Linked DNA regions of Callithrix jacchus. The protein of the gene in region 1 binds, or shares a complex with, the protein of each later gene. Links are inferred from orthologs where the notes say so. Each region holds a gene or a part of one and is shown in the gene's direction. Other genes may lie near its edges. The genes, in order: FLCN, LAMTOR2, FNIP1 and LAMTOR5.

Region 1 (3,563 bases):
GTGCCAATCATGTTTCTAGGCATGTGCAGATGGCAAGGGCAGTGTCTTGGGGAACTTTCTAGCTCAAAGAGCCAGAGCTGTCGAAGCCTTTGTGAGAACTTGGAAGTGGGTGTGCGGGGTATGTGCAGTGTGGGGTTTCAGGCTCAAGGCTTGCCCTTTGGACTCAGGCCTGGCTTCGCATTCTGGCTCTGCTTCTCACGTGCACCCTTCCCTTTGGGTTTCATGATGTGAAATGGAGATGTGGTCATTTGTGAGGGCTCCATGAAGGTTCATTGAAATGACAAATACCCATTTCTTTATCTGTGAAATGGAGGTAATAGTGCTGACCTGACCTCAGCACAATTGAGAGGACTAAATGAAATGATGTTGGATGCAGCCATAAAGAAGAATGAAATTAGGCATTGGTGCACACCTGGAGTCCCAGCACTTGGGAGACTGAGACAGGTGATGGCTTGAGCTCAGGAGTTTGATACCAGCCTAAGCAACATAGCGAGGTCCAGCCTCTACAAAAAATATGAAAAGTAGTTGGGCGTGATGGTGCATGACTGGACTCCCAGCTGCTTGGAAGGCTTAGTTGGGAGGATCACTTGAGCCCAGAAGATTGAGACTGCAGTGAGCCGTGATTGTGCCACTGCATTCTAGCCTGGGCAATAGAGTGAGACCCTGTCTCAAATAAAAAGATGGGAATAGTAGACACCAGGGACTCCAGAAGGAGGGAGGGAGGGAGGGGACCAAGGGCTGAAATACTTTCTATTGGATACTGTCTGGGTATATTACTTCTTGTGGTTCACTCTTTGGGTGACAGGATCAATAGCAGCCCAAACTTCAGCACCACCCAGCGTACCTTTGTAACAAAACTACACCTGTACCCCCTCAATCTAAAATGAAAGTGGAAAAAAATAAAAACGATTTGTAGATCGTTGAGAACTGTGGCCGACTGGATGTGTTCAGAAGACACACTGTTGGCATTTTTCACTAGTTTGAGTTTTCTCACCAGCAAAGAATAGCTGATGGTCTTTCTGTAAGTGTTTCTAAGATGGACGTGTGGTGCCCTGGGCTAAGCAGACAGCAACTGAGCCCTCCCTCCCGGCACAGGGCTCCCAGAGCAACAGGGAACATGGGACCTGGCCACAGCTAGGAATCTACACTGACCAGTTCAGCCCACGAGGTGCCTTGGGCTGTAGTCACAGGTTTGTATCTGTAACTGTCCTTGTTGTCTGTCTTGCAGATTTAGAAGAGGAATCAGAAACCTGGGACAACTCTGAAGCTGAAGAGGAGGAGAAAGCCCCTGTGTTGCCAGAGGGTGCAGAAGGGCGGGAGCTGACCCAGGGCCCGGCAGAGTCCTCCTGTCTTTCAGGCTGTGGGAGCTGGCAGCCCCGGAAGCTGCCAGTCTTCAAGTCCCTCCGGCACATGAGGCAGGTAGGTGGCAGGGACAAAAAGCATCAGGAGCTCAGGAGGAGAGCAAAACCGTCCCCACCCACATGCCTTACCTCTGGGCTCTCCATCTTCAAAACCCTGTGGGAAGTGACTGACAGCCTCTCGATTGATGGCTGAGGGCACAGGGTGTCGGGAGTATTAGCCGTAAGATCAGTGCTCCCCCTTCAGTGATGACCTAAGTATCTTCAAAGAAAGGCCAAATAGTTGGCATCCCATGGTCCCTCTGATCCTCTGAGAACCTCCAGGAGGCAGTGAACAGCACTATTATTGGTTTGGGTGCAGCCAGGACCCTGCTGATTGAAAGTGAGGTCATTCTTACAAAAAAATTAGGAAGAACCTGAGTATCAAACCATTGTAGTAAATGGTAGCCAAACCGTGGAATATGATTAATTAGAAGAAATAAAGCAGGCAGCGTGTGTTTAGGGTGATATATGCACATGTGTGCCTGCCGGACATAACAGAATTGGAGGAGTAGGTGTGGGTTGCTCCATTGCAGGGGCAGGCTATGTCCTTGATAAGATTCTTCTGGCCGGGCACGGTGGCTCACACCTGTAATCCCAGCACTTTGGGAGGCCAAGGCAGGCGGGTCACCTGAGGTCAGGTGTTTGGGATCAGCCTGATCAACAGAGAGAAACCCCATCTCTACTAAAAATAGAAAATTAGCTGGATGTGTTGGTACATGTCTGTAACCCCAGCTACTTGAGAGGCTGAGTTACAGTGAGCCAGGATCATACCATTGCATTCTAGCCTGGGTGACAGGAGCAATCTCTCTCAAAAAAAAAAAAAAAATATCTTCTGTATTTATTTTTCCAATGAGTACTGATTCATCAGAAGGGTGTTATTTGTTTTGGAAAATGGAGTAAGACTGATTTCATGGCAGATGCCCTTGGGGCTTCTGGATGAAAACACTCAATCCATTAAAATCCTACATTCGGCTGAAACCTTCCTTGTCAATTTCTTGCGTAGATGAAGGTTGGAAGGTGTGTGGAATTCCTCTGGAGGTGCGACTGCTTTGAGGCTCTGAGGATTTGGTGAAATGTGGTATTGTGGCCTCTCTCTTAGGTTTTGTTTCAAAGCCGTGTTTGGCTTCTTAGAAGCAGTGAGACAACAGGCTGGACTCTCCTAAGGTGTCAGTGTCGTGGAAGCTAATAAAAGGTGGGGTCTGGAGAGAGGCTGTTCTAGGTTAAAGAATAAGGACATGATAACTAAAGGCAGTCACGGTGCTATAGTAGCTCCTGGATCAAAAGAACAGCAGCTGCCAAGCAGGCAAGGGCCCTGGGCTTGTGCACATGGCTGGATGTCAGGTGTGTCCATCGTGGTCTCACCATGATGGGCTCCAGTCATGGAGCCATCATGTCTCAGCTGTGGTGACATCCTTGTTCTGGGTGCCGCCGGTAGAGGGCCCTACAGCCTGCTTTCAAATGCTTCGGCAAAAAGTGTCTGTAAAGGCTGGGCGCGGTGGCTCAAGCCTGTAATCCCAGCACTTTGGGAGGCTGAGGCGGGTGGATCACGAGGTCAAGAGATCGAGACCATCCTGGTCAACATGGTGAAACCCCGTTTCTACTAAAAATACAAAAATTAGCTGGGCATGGTGGTGCGTGCCTGTAATCCCAGCTACTCAGGAGGCTGAGACAGGAGAATTGCTTGAACCCAGAAGTGGGAGGTTGTGGTGAGCCGAGATCGTGCCATTGCACTCCAGTCTGGGTAACGAGTGAAACTCCATCTCAAAAAAAAAAAAGTGTCTGTAAAGAGAAGGTGAATAAATATTGCAGGAAGTTAACATCTTTTTGCTTCAAGTTTTTAAAAACAAAATTGGGAGGAAGATCTTGGAGCAAGAGCTTTGGAATCTGGCTTTTAAGTGCAAACCTGGAACTTCTGTCTCTCCCCATTTAACCCTGGGCTGGGCACCGCCTCCCTGAGAAGATAAGTGACTTTCTCCTGAACCTGTCTTTGTTCTATAACATTTTATGAACACAAATCAATAACTTCATGGGAAGGGAGAGGAAAACCATTTCTCCTAGTCATGCTGAAAGCACTGCATTCTCTTGTTTAGGTCCTGGGCGCCCCGTCTTTCCGCATGCTGGCCTGGCACGTTCTCATGGGGAACCAGGTGATCTGGAAAAGCA
Region 2 (4,345 bases), on another chromosome or scaffold:
GTACACTCCCCTCAAACCCAGGATCCTTCCCTCTTCCCGGTGCAAAGTGTCCCCTCCTCACTCTCCACCACGCCCCCAGCCCAGGCCACACGGCAAAACCCGCCCCTCAACACGCGCCACGCTCCCCTAGATCTCCCCTCGCAGGGCGCCCCCTACCCGCCTCTCCCTTCCTCCAGCTCCACGGAGTCCCAGCTGGCCCTCGCCCTCCTCTCCGGGGCCCTCCGGGACGCCAGAACCTCAGGGAGGGCCCCCCATCTCTTCACAGACCCCTCCTCCGCGCTCCCTCCGCCCCCCGCCAGCCGTACTACCTCCTTGACCGAGGCTCGATCGCAGATTACAATTTCCTCCTTGTCCTTGGGGGTCTTGACGGTGACCCGAATGGGGGGCCTCGTCTCGGCCCCGCTCGGCTCCGCCATGCCGCCGCCGCCGCCACCCGGCCGCCCGCCAGCCCGTCCAGCTCCTCCTCCTCCCCGCCCGCCCGGCCAGCCCGGCTCGGCTCCAGCGCCTCCAACACTCCCCTCTCTCCACCTCTCCCCTTCCTCCCCTCCTCTCTCCTCCCCTCCCCGAGGCTTCACCGCCCCCTCCGGACCAGCCGCAGCCACAGCGCCCCGGGCGGACCGGGGGGGCCACTGCAGCGGGTTCCGCCCAGGGCCGAGCCCCGGGTCCGGAGCCAGGCCCGGGGCTCGCCAGGCTGGGGCCCCTGGGGGGCGCTCTGGGCATGGGGAGGGGCGTGCCCTTCACTGCGGGGGCGGGGACGGACTCCTCGGGGAGACAGAGGCCCAACGCTGCCCGCCAGAGCCGTGCCGCGGTCCCTTCCAGCCCAAAGCTTCCCCGCCCCCTCCGCGTCTAACTCCGCTCCGGGACAAAGGACTTTCTGTGTCGCCGCTTTATCTCCATTCCCTGTAATAACTTGGTCTTTCTTGGAAGCCCAAAGTCCTTTCCAGGCCAGGGGCCTTTCCCGACCTGGAGGTTGGGTTTTCCCACCAAGTTAAGTCCTTAGGATCTTAGCTCTGGGACTGACCCTATAGCTCCGAGGGTCACGGCCTAACTGGTCTATTAAGAATGGTTCCAGGGAGTTGGGTTTTGGCTGCGTGGCCTTTCTGAGCCTTGGTTTTCTCAAGATAATAGTAACAGTTCCCCTCGCCTCATCGCACAAAATTGTGCATAACGGAGAAAACTGTTTTGAAAGTAACCAAAGGCATGCCTGACAAATATAAGGATGTAGTCTAATTATTGAATCGTGGACTGCCAAGCGGACACGTTGACTCCTTTCTCCCCGAAGGAGTTAAATGTCCTTCCAGTGCTGCCACTGTCCTTCCACTCCCGCTCTTTTTGCCCCCCGCAACCGCGTGGTCAGCCTGGAAAGGCGAACTATAGTTCCCAGGGTGCCTCGCGAGGCCACAAGGAACTACGATTCCCAGAGCCGCCCGCGGCGGGGTGGGGAGTTGAGTCGGAACTACAATAACCAGGCGAGGAAACTACAACTCCCAGGGCGTTTGGAAGCAGGCCACGGGACTACGGGAAGCAGAAGTCAGCGGCTCGCGGGAGGCACCTCGGAGGATCTGGGTGCAAAAGCCCAGGGTTAGAAGCCGTAGGCATGTTGCGCCCCAAGGCTTTAACCCAGGTGCTAAGCCAAGCCAACACTGGAGGAGTCCAGAGCACCCTGTGAGTGCGGACCACGGACCCGAGCGGCCAGCCCCGTAGTTGGGCTGCGCGCGGCTCCCTGAGGGAGGGGTGGGGAAGGATCGCCGGGAAGGGAGGAGGCGGCAGAGCGGGCAGCGGCTGGGAGTGCTGGCCAGTAGATACCCTCTCGAAAAGGGAAGCCGGTGTGCTGGGTGCTTAGGGCGCGTTCCAGGACACACTAAGCCCAGACCCTTGCTGGCTGTGCTAGTGGTGGGACTTGGGCTGGAAACCCAGGCGTTTTACTCTCTGTCCTGGGCACAACGTTATCCTTCCCCGCCCCTCACCAGGCTGCTGAATAACGAGGGATCACTGCTGGCCTACTCGGGTTACGGGGACACTGACGCTCGGGTCACTGCGGCCATAGCCAGTAACATCTGGGCCGCCTACGACCGGAATGGGAACCAAGCGTTTAATGAAGACAATCTCAAATTCATCCTCATGGACTGCATGGTATGGAGAGGGAAGCCAGACTTCCCCTGCCCCCCAAGGGGATCCCAAGGGGGTGACCCGGACCCCATCCTGGATGGTTGGAGGGGCAGGGACAGTGTCTCCGGAAGATTACTAAGAGTTGGTCTGCAGCAGCATTCGTAATAGGCAGGACCCTATTCATCAAATGGTGGTGAGGAAGGAGCCCTGGACCTGAGAGGTCTGACTTGGGTTCTGGTTTCAGCCATCCACTTATCAGTTGTGGAACCTTGGGTAAGTCGCCTAACCTCTCTCAGCTTCCTTACCTCATGTCTAAGGAGGAAGCAGCTATTTCCCTTTTCCCGCTCCCCTCCTGGATGGTTGTGAAGATCGGATGAAATAATGGGTATAAACAGTAGAACGATGTGCAAACACGAAGTGTTGTCATCCCAGCCTCGCCGACTCACAGAACCATGGTGGTCTCCAGACCCTAGTCCAACCCCTCACGGTTACAAACAAGGGAAAATGAAGTCCAGAAAGGGGAAGTTGCCGTTAGCTTGTGAACCTCTTAGTATCTGTTTAGTCAATAAGTATTTAGGTCCTTGTAGTGTTCTCAGGACTAGGGAAAAAAATAGCAAACAGAAAGGCAAAACCCCCAGCCCTAATAAATCTTAACAGTGATACAATAATGGCTCACTGCAGCCTCGACCTCCCTGGGCTCAGGTGATCTTCCTGTCTCAGCCTCTTAAGTAGCTGGAAGTACAAGCATCCACTACCACACCTCCCTAATTTTTGCATTTTTTGCAGAGATTGGGTTTTGCCATGTTGCCCGGGCTGGTCTCGATCTCTTGGCTCAAGTGATCCACCTGCCTCAGCCTCCCAAAGTGCTGGGATTACAGGCATGAGCCACTGTGCCCGGCCACATTATTTAAAATAAGTAAAATATGTAGTATGTTAGGTATTGAAAATGCAATGTAAGGCCGGGCGCAGTGGCTCACGCCTGTAATCCCAGCACTTTGGGAGGCTGAGGCAGGTGGATCTCGAGGTCAAGAGATCGAGACCATCCTGGTCAAAGAGGTGAAACCCTGTGTCTACTAAAAATACAAAAATTAGCTGGGCATGGTAGCGCGCGCCTGTAGTCCCAGCTACTTGGGAGGCTGAGGTAGGAGAATTGCTTGAACTCAGGAGGCGGAGGCTGCGGTGAGCCGAGATCGTGCCATTGCACTCCAGTCTGGGTAACAATAGCGAAACTCCGTATCAAAAAAAAAAAAAAAAGAAAAGAAAATGCAATGTAAAGAAAGGAGGGAAGTGAAAGTATGAGTTTGTTGGGTGTATGTGTCAGAGACAGTCTCACTGAAAAGGTGACATTTGATCAAAGATCTGAAGAAAGGTCATGGCAAGCCATGTGGCTATCTAGGGGAAGAATATTTTGGACAGAACAGCAAGCACGAAGGCCTTGAGGCAGAATTGTGCCTGCCCAAGGATCAACAGAGTTGGTTGGTATGGCTGGAGCTGCATGAAAATGAATGGAGGGTGGTAGGAGATGGTGTCAGAGAGGCAGAGAGTGCAGTGCTTGGTTTCCCGCGTAGAATGAATACCTAGTAAAAATTTGTTGAACTTACTTTTTTTTTTTTCCATATCGGCCAGAGGGTGAACTCTCTAGGAAGGGTCTTCATTGTAACCCAGCTGCTATTCTCTTCTGCCACCTGCACAACCAATGCTATTTTAGTTCAACATATGACGCTTAGTGAATGCCTAGAGCTGGTGCTATAGCTTTCAAACGTTTTGACCACAACCAAGCCATAAGAAATACATTTTAAGGGGCCAGGCACTGTGGCTCACGCCTGTAATCCCAACACTTTGGGAAGGCGAGGCAGGCAGATCATGAGGTCAGGAGTTTGAGACCAGCCTGTCCAACCTGGTGAAACCCCATTTCTACTAAAAATACAAAAATTAGACCGGGTGCAGTGGCCCACACCTGTAATTCCAGCACTCTGGGAGGCCGACACTGGCAGATCACCTGAGGTCAGGAATTCAAGACCAGCCTGGCTAACATGGTGGAACCCCATTTCTACTAAAAATACAAAAAATTAGCCAGGTGTAGTGGCATGCGCCTGTAATCCCAGCTACTCAGGAGGCTGAGGCAGGAGAATCACTTGAACCTGGGAGGTGGAAGTTGCAGTGAGCCAAGATCACACCATTGCACTCTAGCTTGGGCAACAAGAGTGAAACTCAATCTAAAATATATCTATATATA
Region 3 (3,563 bases), on another chromosome or scaffold:
AGTGAAACCTAAACTACAATTCATATAGTAAGAGTAGGTTTCTGATCATTAAAAACAGCCTACTTAGCTGGGTCAGTAAAGGATGTGCTTAATAACTGAGTTTTTTTTATTACAGGAGACTTGTACGGTGCTATCGGCTCTCCTGTACGGTTAGCAAGGACTGTGGTGGTTGGCAAACGACAAGATATGGTCCAGAGGCTACTTTATTTTCTTACTTATTTTATAAGATGCTCTGAACTTCAAGAAACACATCTTTTAGAAAATGGAGAAGATGAAGCCATCGTTATGCCAGGCACAGTTATTACTACCACTTTAGAGAAAGGTGAAATAGAAGAATCAGAGTATGTCCTTGTCACAATGCATAGAAACAAAAGCAGTTTGCTCTTTAAAGAGTCGGAAGTAAGAACTTCTAATTGTAACTGTAAATATTGCAGTCGTCCACTCCTTGGGCAAAATGTAGAGAACATTTCTCAACAAGAGAGAGAAGATATTCAAAACAGCTCTAAGGAGCTTTTAGGAATTTCAGATGAGTGCCGGGTGATTTCTCCTTCTGACTGCCAAGAAGAAAATGCTGTTGATGTTAAACAGTACAGAGATAAATTAAGAACTTGCCTTGACACCAAGTTAGAGACAGTTGTTTGCACAGGATCTGTTCCAGTAGACAAATGTTCATTGTCAGAGTCAGGCTTAGAGCCAACAGAGGAAACATGGCAGAGTGAGAAGTTGCTGGATTCAGATAGTCACACAAGCAAAGCAATGAGATCCACAGGAATGGTTGTGGAAAAGAAACCTCCAGATAAGATTGTGTCTGCTTCATTTTCTTGTGAGGCTGCCCACACAAAGGTTACTTTCCTGATTGGGGATTCTATGTCACCTGATTCAGATACTGAGCTTCGAAGTCAGGCAGTGGTGGATCAGATTACCAGGCATCACACCAAACCACTGAAGAAAGAAAGAGGGGCTATTGATCAGCATCAAGAAACTAAACAGACAACTAAGGACCAATCTGGAGAGTCTGATATACAGAACATGGTTTCTGAAGAGCCCTGCGAACTTCCCTGTTGGAATCATTCAGACCCAGAAAGCATGAGCTTATTTGATGAATATTTTAATGATGATTCAATTGAAACCAGGACTATTGATGATGTTCCAATTAAAACAAGTACAGATAGTAAAGACCATTGCTGTATGTTAGAGTTTTCAAAAATATTGTGTACAAAAAATAACAAACAAAACAATGAATTTTGTAAATGTATACAAGCAGTTCCCCAAGATTCATGTAAAACCTGCTTTCCTCAGCAGGACCAAAGAGATACACTCTCCATTCTTGTCCCCCATGGGGATAAAGAGAGTTCAGACAAAAAAATTGCCATAGGAACTGAATGGGACATTCCAAGAAATGAAAGTTCAGATAGTGCCCTTGGGGATAGTGAAAGTGAAGATACAGGTCATGATATGACTAGGCAAGTTAGCAGTTATTATGGAGGAGAGCAAGAAGACTGGGCAGAAGAGGATGAAATACCATTTCCTGGGTACGTAGGAAGTTTTCACCTATAATGGGCCCTATATAAATATGTACCATACTTTTGTTTAGCTGTTCTCTGAAGGTTGGTATAAAAGAAGAGATCATTGTCCTAGATAGATTTCTCTTATTTTCATATTCTCTTAACTCATAAAAAAGATTAAAGCCTGAGTTCCAGAAACACCTCAGAAAGGTTTTATGAAGACCTCAGAGAAAAGTTAAAGGATCTGGTTATGATTTCTTACTGCTTAGAAGGTTTCAAGCCATTTAGGAGTGAATTATGCCCCCCAAAAGGACATATGCTGAGCCTGGCAGAGAGCACTAATCCTTGAGATGTTAGATGGCTGTTTGAAATATGTTTGGCCAAAACTAAGAAGAAAACAGAATGTATATTTTCAGTTAAGTATGTAAAAAGATTCATGCTTGAGAAATGTTACATACCCACCTTTGGACTTGTGAAGCATTTAATTACTTTGTTTTAGATGATTGTATTAAGAATGTGTTACAAACTTAGGGGACAGCTCTCTTAAAGTCTGTTACAAAAGATTAATTCTCACTTCATTACTGAGTTGTTCCTCAGACCTTCTCATCTTGATAAGAAGTGTTTTGTTTTCTGATAGAGCACTTGAGCAAGTTTTTAAATAAGGATGATTATACTCTTGATTTTACTATTATTACCAGTTTACTCTTGAATTTTACCATTACCATTATATAAGGATGATTTTACTCTTTATATTAATACAGACTAGTATAAAATGTGGACTAGTAGAGTTCACAATTCTTTTTTTAACTGGTTAAAAAAGTTTATTATTAATTAGATGTCTTTGGGGGGTACTTTTCTTCCAGGTCAAAGTTAATTGAAGTGAGTGCTGTTCAGCCCAACATTGCCAATTTTGGGAGGTCCTTGCTGGGTGGCTACTGCTCATCTTATGTGCCTGACTTTGTTCTTCAAGGAATTGGGAGTGATGAGAGGTTCCGTCAGTGTCTGATGTCAGATTTGTCTCATGCTGTGCAGGTAAGTGACCTTCACTGGTCTTGAGTTTATTTAGAACAAACTATGTTAAGCAGCAGAACCCAAAATTGCCTTATATTTTTGGTCATACTTTTACAACACAATCCTTATTCTCTGATTTCATTACTTTATATTCAGTGTCTGTTATCTTACTGTCACTGTGAGAGCAAATAAAGTTTCAGAAATTTATCCACATGGATATCAGAAATACAGAAAGTACTTTATGTATTCATGGATGTTCATCAGCTAGGTTATTTACAGTATCAGAAATTTATAGGTGCTTAAGTTTGAATGGAATTATTTTCTTAATTTCCCTTTCAGATTGTTCATTGCTTACATATAGAAGTGGGGTTGGCTTTTGCGTATTGATCCTATATCCTGTGGCCTTTCTGAACTCATATTAGTCTATTCAGTTTTTCTGTATAGATTCCCTAAGGTTTCCTACATACAGGCTCATGTTATCAGTGAACAGATAGTTTTAAATCTTTCTTAACAATCTGGATGCTTTTGTCCCTCCTGCCCCCAACTTTTTTTTTTTTTTTTTTTTTGATTCATTGTACTGGCTAGAACTTTAAATAGAATGTTGCATGGAAATGGTGACCATGGACATCATTGCCTTATTCATGATCTTAGGAGAAGACGTTGCATCTTTCATGATTAAGTGTGATGTTAGCTGTAAGGTTCTTGTAATGCCCTTTATTAGATGGATAAACCCTATTTATTTACTTAATTATTTTTGAGATGGTGTTTCACTCTTGTTATGCAGGCTGGCGTGCAATGGCGCAATCTCAGCTCACTGCAACCTCTGCCTCCTGGGTTCAAGTGATTCTTCTGCCTCAGCCTCCCGAGTAGCTGGGATTACAGGCATGCACCATGTGCCACCACACCCGGCTAATTTTGTATTATTTTGTATTTTTAGTAGAGACAGAGTTTCTCCATGTTGGTCAGGCTGGTCTTAAACTTCCGATCTCAGATAATCCTTCTGCTTTGGCCTTCCAAAGTGCTGGGATTACAGGTGTAAGCCCCTGT
Region 4 (4,049 bases), on another chromosome or scaffold:
AGGCTGCACTAATCCATGACAGCATCGCTGCACTAAGCCATGATAACGCCACTGCACTCCAGCCTTAATCCACAATTAGGATACAGCTATAAATGGAATATTCTGCAACTATTACGAAGGACGTAAGTGAAAACTTGACATGGAAAGACATTTATTCTAAACTCTGTGAAGAAGGCCAGATACAGAATTGTACCTCCAATATATATGTCAATTTTGCTTACAAAAGAAAAAAAAAACATGGATATGGTGAGTCAGCCTGTAATCACATTTTGGGAAGCTGCAGTGGGAGGATCTTTTGAGGCAAGGAGTTTGAGACCAGCCTGGATAACACAGCAAGACCCCCATCTCTACAAAAAAATGTAAAAATTAGCCAGCCATGGTGGCTCAAGGCTGTGGCCCTAGCCAGTCAAGAGGCTAAGAGGGGAGGATAGCTTGAACTCTGGACGTCAGGGTTGCAATGAGCTATAATCATGCCAGTGCACTCTGGCCTGTGTGACAGAGCAAGATCCTGTCCCCAAAAAAGTTATTTTAAAAAGGCAAACAAAAAAACATTAAAAGTGTCCATTTGCAAAGACCACTATCTGAAAGGATACTCTCAAAGGGATTAAAAGTCATCTTTGGACAGTGGGACCATAAGTGTTTTCTATTTTTATCACTTTTATAATTAATTATTTTTGTCTTTTTGTTTTTTTCCTTTTTGTGGAGAACGGGGTCTCGCTATATTGCCCAGGCAGATCTCGAACTCCTGGGCTCAAGCTAGCCTCCCGCCTCTGCCTCCCTAAGAGTTGGGATTACAGGCGTGAGCCACAGCGCCCGGCCTATAATTAATTTTTTAAAGTAATTTTTAAGTAGTCCTACCTAGTCTTCCTTACAAGTTAGGACTCAGATGCCACTCTCTTTCCCTAAACTGACCTGAGTCCCCTCACCATAATAAGCACCAGTGTCTTCGCTAAAATCCCAACACTTTGCCAACACAGCTGGGGGTTGAACCTCGCTCCCTCTAGTCCTTTAGTCCTCTGAGTCTTTCCCCCTACAAGCCTATGGACCCGCTCCCAGAGGTCCCCTTCGTACCTGCCCCACAGGCTAGATCAGGCCCTGTCTGACCCCTGGGTTACTGTAAAACAGAACGTCTGGCCCCTAGGTCTCAGAGTCGGTTGAATCAGAGTCCAGAGGTTAAAAAACACTGACACAAAATGCCAGGCCAGGAACTGAGGCACTGAAGCTCGGCTACAGACCTCGCTCCTGAGAGGGAAATCATTCCGCTGGGGAGCCACGCGCGGGTCACCGACTGTCACCTTCGCCAGGCTCTGTGCGGCGGAAGCGCAGTGATGTTTTCCAGTAAAAAACGCGGACGTTGCGCCGTGATCAATTTTGTCCCTTTGGAGGCGCCGTTCCGGTCCACGCCCCGCTCGCGTCAAGTGACTGAGGCCTGTGGTGGAGTCGGACGCGGCGTGCCGCTGGGTTCTGGGCCGGGGTGGACGGTGGGTGGGATGGAGGCGACCTTGGAGCAGCACTTGGAAGACACGTGAGTAGTGCGCGCCTCTTCGGCCCGTCCTGAAGTCGCGGCGGAGGAACTTGAGCGGGACAAAAGGCGCGAGCTGCGAGTGCCTGCCAGGGCGTCTCGGGGACGTCGCGCTACCCCCAGGACAAGGGATGAGGGAGCTGAGCCCTACCCGAGGGCCGCAGGGCGGGACTGGTGACCCGGAATTAAAATTCTGCCGGGCACCGCACATCCCCTCTTGAGCGAGTCTCCTGGGCTCAGGCTACGGCCAAAACTGCTTATCTCGTTGTTGAAATCGTCTTTACGGTCAGGGTTGTTCTGCGGGAGGTTTAGGAAAGGGGTTAACTTTGGGGAAGGTTGTGCCAGTTGTGCACAGTCAAGCCCTGCAGTGTAAACAAACATTTATCTCCTGTGTGTATCCTGTCAGTTACTTGGTACTTACGTAGATCAAAGTCATCCTTTAAATTTTTCGAACAAGCAGTATTTATGTAAAATTCGAAACTGGAAAAGTATAAAGGGTACAGAGACACCTGGCCTCCCAACGATGTCCCTCAGCTTCCATTTACCCTCCAGGAGGCGATTTAAGAGGTTTTCAACAGTTTTAAATGAGTTAGTACTAAAGCATGCATTTTTAACAAGAGTGAAAACATCCTAGATATTGCAGTGTTTGTGGCCCTCCAAAACTCAACAGTACTTAGCAGTTTTTTCTCTCTCATGAGAGAAAAAACTGGTTTATTTAAATTAATTAATTAGAATAATTTTTTTCTTAGAGTGTGATAATGAAAAAAGATTGAGAAACATTGATTTAAAGCACTTAATGTCTGGTACATAGAGCACGTGTATGCTCAAATCCTTTTTCTCCCATTATCTGCTTCAACTCTCTGTGTTCCTGAAATTAGAATGAAGAATCCCTCCATTGTTGGAGTCCTGTGCACAGATTCACAAGGACTTAATCTGGGTTGTAAGTATCTCTCATGCCGTGTGATGAATTCCGTAGCATCTGCTGTTGACTTGGAGCCTAGCGTGGTTTTGTTTTCTAGCTTTTATGTTCTGTTACCTTGCCGGTTCTTTCTGAGTTTCTGAGAGTAGAGATTATCTCCAAATAACAGTATCAGAAAATTGAAAGTTTCAGTTGGTATTTATGAAGGAGGATGTTCCCTGCTGTTCTATAGCACTAAGTAGTTGTCTTTACTAAAAATGGTATTTGAATCATGTTAAATGAAGTCTAGAAAGGACTTGAGAGAATGACAGCTGTTAACCATTTATTGAATGTATGCCATATGCTGAGACTGCTAGGTTCTAAATACACTGCCTTTAATTTTCACAGCAACCCCGCAGAGTGGATGGTGTCCTATTTTTAAGCTCAACTACACTAAACAAGAAGTGAATAGGCAGTAAAATGGGGTTTCAGTGTTGGACATACCTGGGCTCAGTCCCTTACTTTTTGATTTGCTGGCAGTATGAACGTGGACCAAAAACTACCTTTTAGGGCTTCATTTTCTTCACTAGGTTGTTATTTAATAATGGTAATCATTAGAATTACATTTATTGAGCTTTTGTTATATACCAAGCACCATTGTAAGTCCTTTACATATACTAACTCTTTTATTCCTTAAAACAACCCTGTGAGGTAGAAAAAGAAGTGGAGGGGCCAGGCGCAGTGGCTCACATCTGTAATCCCAGCAGTTTGGGAGGCCAAGGCAGGCAGATCACTGAGCCCAGGAGTTCAAGACCAGCCTGTGCAACACAGTGAAACCACCCCCCATCTCTATTTTATATATATGTTTTTAAAATTTTTAAAGGCCAGATGCTGTGGCTCATACCTGTAATCCCAGCACTTTGGGAGGTCGGGAGGCCATGGTGGGCAGATCACTTGAGCCCAGGAGTTCAAGACCAGCCTGTGCAACACAGTGAGACCTCCCCCATCTCTATTTTATTGTTTTTTAAATTTAAAAAGGCCAGATGCCATGGCTCATACCTGTAATCCCAGCACTTTTGGGAGGTGGGGGTGGGGACAAGTGGATCACCTGAAGTCAGGAGTTCCAGGCTAGCCTGGCCAACATGGTGAAAACCCATCTCTACTAAAAATACAAAAAAAAAATTAGGCTCGTTGTGGCAGGTGCCAGTAATCCCAGCTACTCAGGAGACTGAGGCAGGAGAATCGCTTGAACCTGGGAGGCAGAGGTTGCAGTGAGCCAAGATCGTGCTGTTGTACTCCAGACTGGCAACAAGAGCAAGATTCTGTCTCAAAAAAAAAAAAAATTAAAAAGAGAAACTTAGACACGGAGGTTAAATAAGTGGGTAAGCTAGGGTTTTTGGCCCTGAGGCCTCTTACTCGTGATTTTTTTTTTTTTTACAGAGATGGAGTCTTGCTCTGTTGCCCAGGCTGGAGTGCAGTGACACAGTCTCGGCTCACTGCAACCTCCACTTCCCAGGTTCAAGCTATTCTCCTGCCTCAGCCTCCTGAGTATCTGGAATTATAGGGGCCCACCACCATGCCTGACTAATTTTTGTATTTTTAGTAGAGATGGGGTTTCACCATGTTGGC

Evidence for each region.
Region 2: FLCN (region 1) and LAMTOR2 share a complex: the UniProt entries of both Homo sapiens proteins name them as parts of the lysosomal folliculin complex. The link is inferred for Callithrix jacchus from reciprocal best matches to the Homo sapiens genes FLCN and LAMTOR2.
Region 3: FLCN (region 1) and FNIP1 share a complex: the UniProt entries of both Homo sapiens proteins name them as parts of the lysosomal folliculin complex. The link is inferred for Callithrix jacchus from reciprocal best matches to the Homo sapiens genes FLCN and FNIP1.
Region 4: FLCN (region 1) and LAMTOR5 share a complex: the UniProt entries of both Homo sapiens proteins name them as parts of the lysosomal folliculin complex. The link is inferred for Callithrix jacchus from reciprocal best matches to the Homo sapiens genes FLCN and LAMTOR5.

What each region holds. Positions count from the first base shown.
Region 1 is NC_133506.1:62,344,320-62,347,882, reverse strand, and holds part of FLCN (folliculin), read left to right. Parts: intron 1-1,228; coding exon 1,229-1,419; intron 1,420-3,490; coding exon 3,491-3,563. UniProt on the Homo sapiens protein: Multi-functional protein, involved in both the cellular response to amino acid availability and in the regulation of glycolysis.
Region 2 is NC_133519.1:16,441,191-16,445,535, forward strand, and holds the start of LAMTOR2 (ragulator complex protein LAMTOR2), read left to right. Parts: upstream 1-1,536; 5' UTR 1,537-1,597; coding exon 1,598-1,665; intron 1,666-1,970; coding exon 1,971-2,133; intron 2,134-4,345. Other genes in the region: UBQLN4 (ubiquilin-4), read right to left, coding at 309-720. UniProt on the Homo sapiens protein: As part of the Ragulator complex it is involved in amino acid sensing and activation of mTORC1, a signaling complex promoting cell growth in response to growth factors, energy levels, and amino acids.
Region 3 is NC_133503.1:76,995,564-76,999,126, forward strand, and holds part of FNIP1 (folliculin-interacting protein 1), read left to right. Parts: intron 1-115; coding exon 116-1,532; intron 1,533-2,368; coding exon 2,369-2,537; intron 2,538-3,563. UniProt on the Homo sapiens protein: Binding partner of the GTPase-activating protein FLCN: involved in the cellular response to amino acid availability by regulating the non-canonical mTORC1 signaling cascade controlling the MiT/TFE factors TFEB and TFE3.
Region 4 is NC_133508.1:148,257,620-148,261,668, reverse strand, and holds the start of LAMTOR5 (ragulator complex protein LAMTOR5), read left to right. Parts: upstream 1-1,203; 5' UTR 1,204-1,328; coding exon 1,329-1,525; intron 1,526-2,400; coding exon 2,401-2,462; intron 2,463-4,049. UniProt on the Homo sapiens protein: As part of the Ragulator complex it is involved in amino acid sensing and activation of mTORC1, a signaling complex promoting cell growth in response to growth factors, energy levels, and amino acids.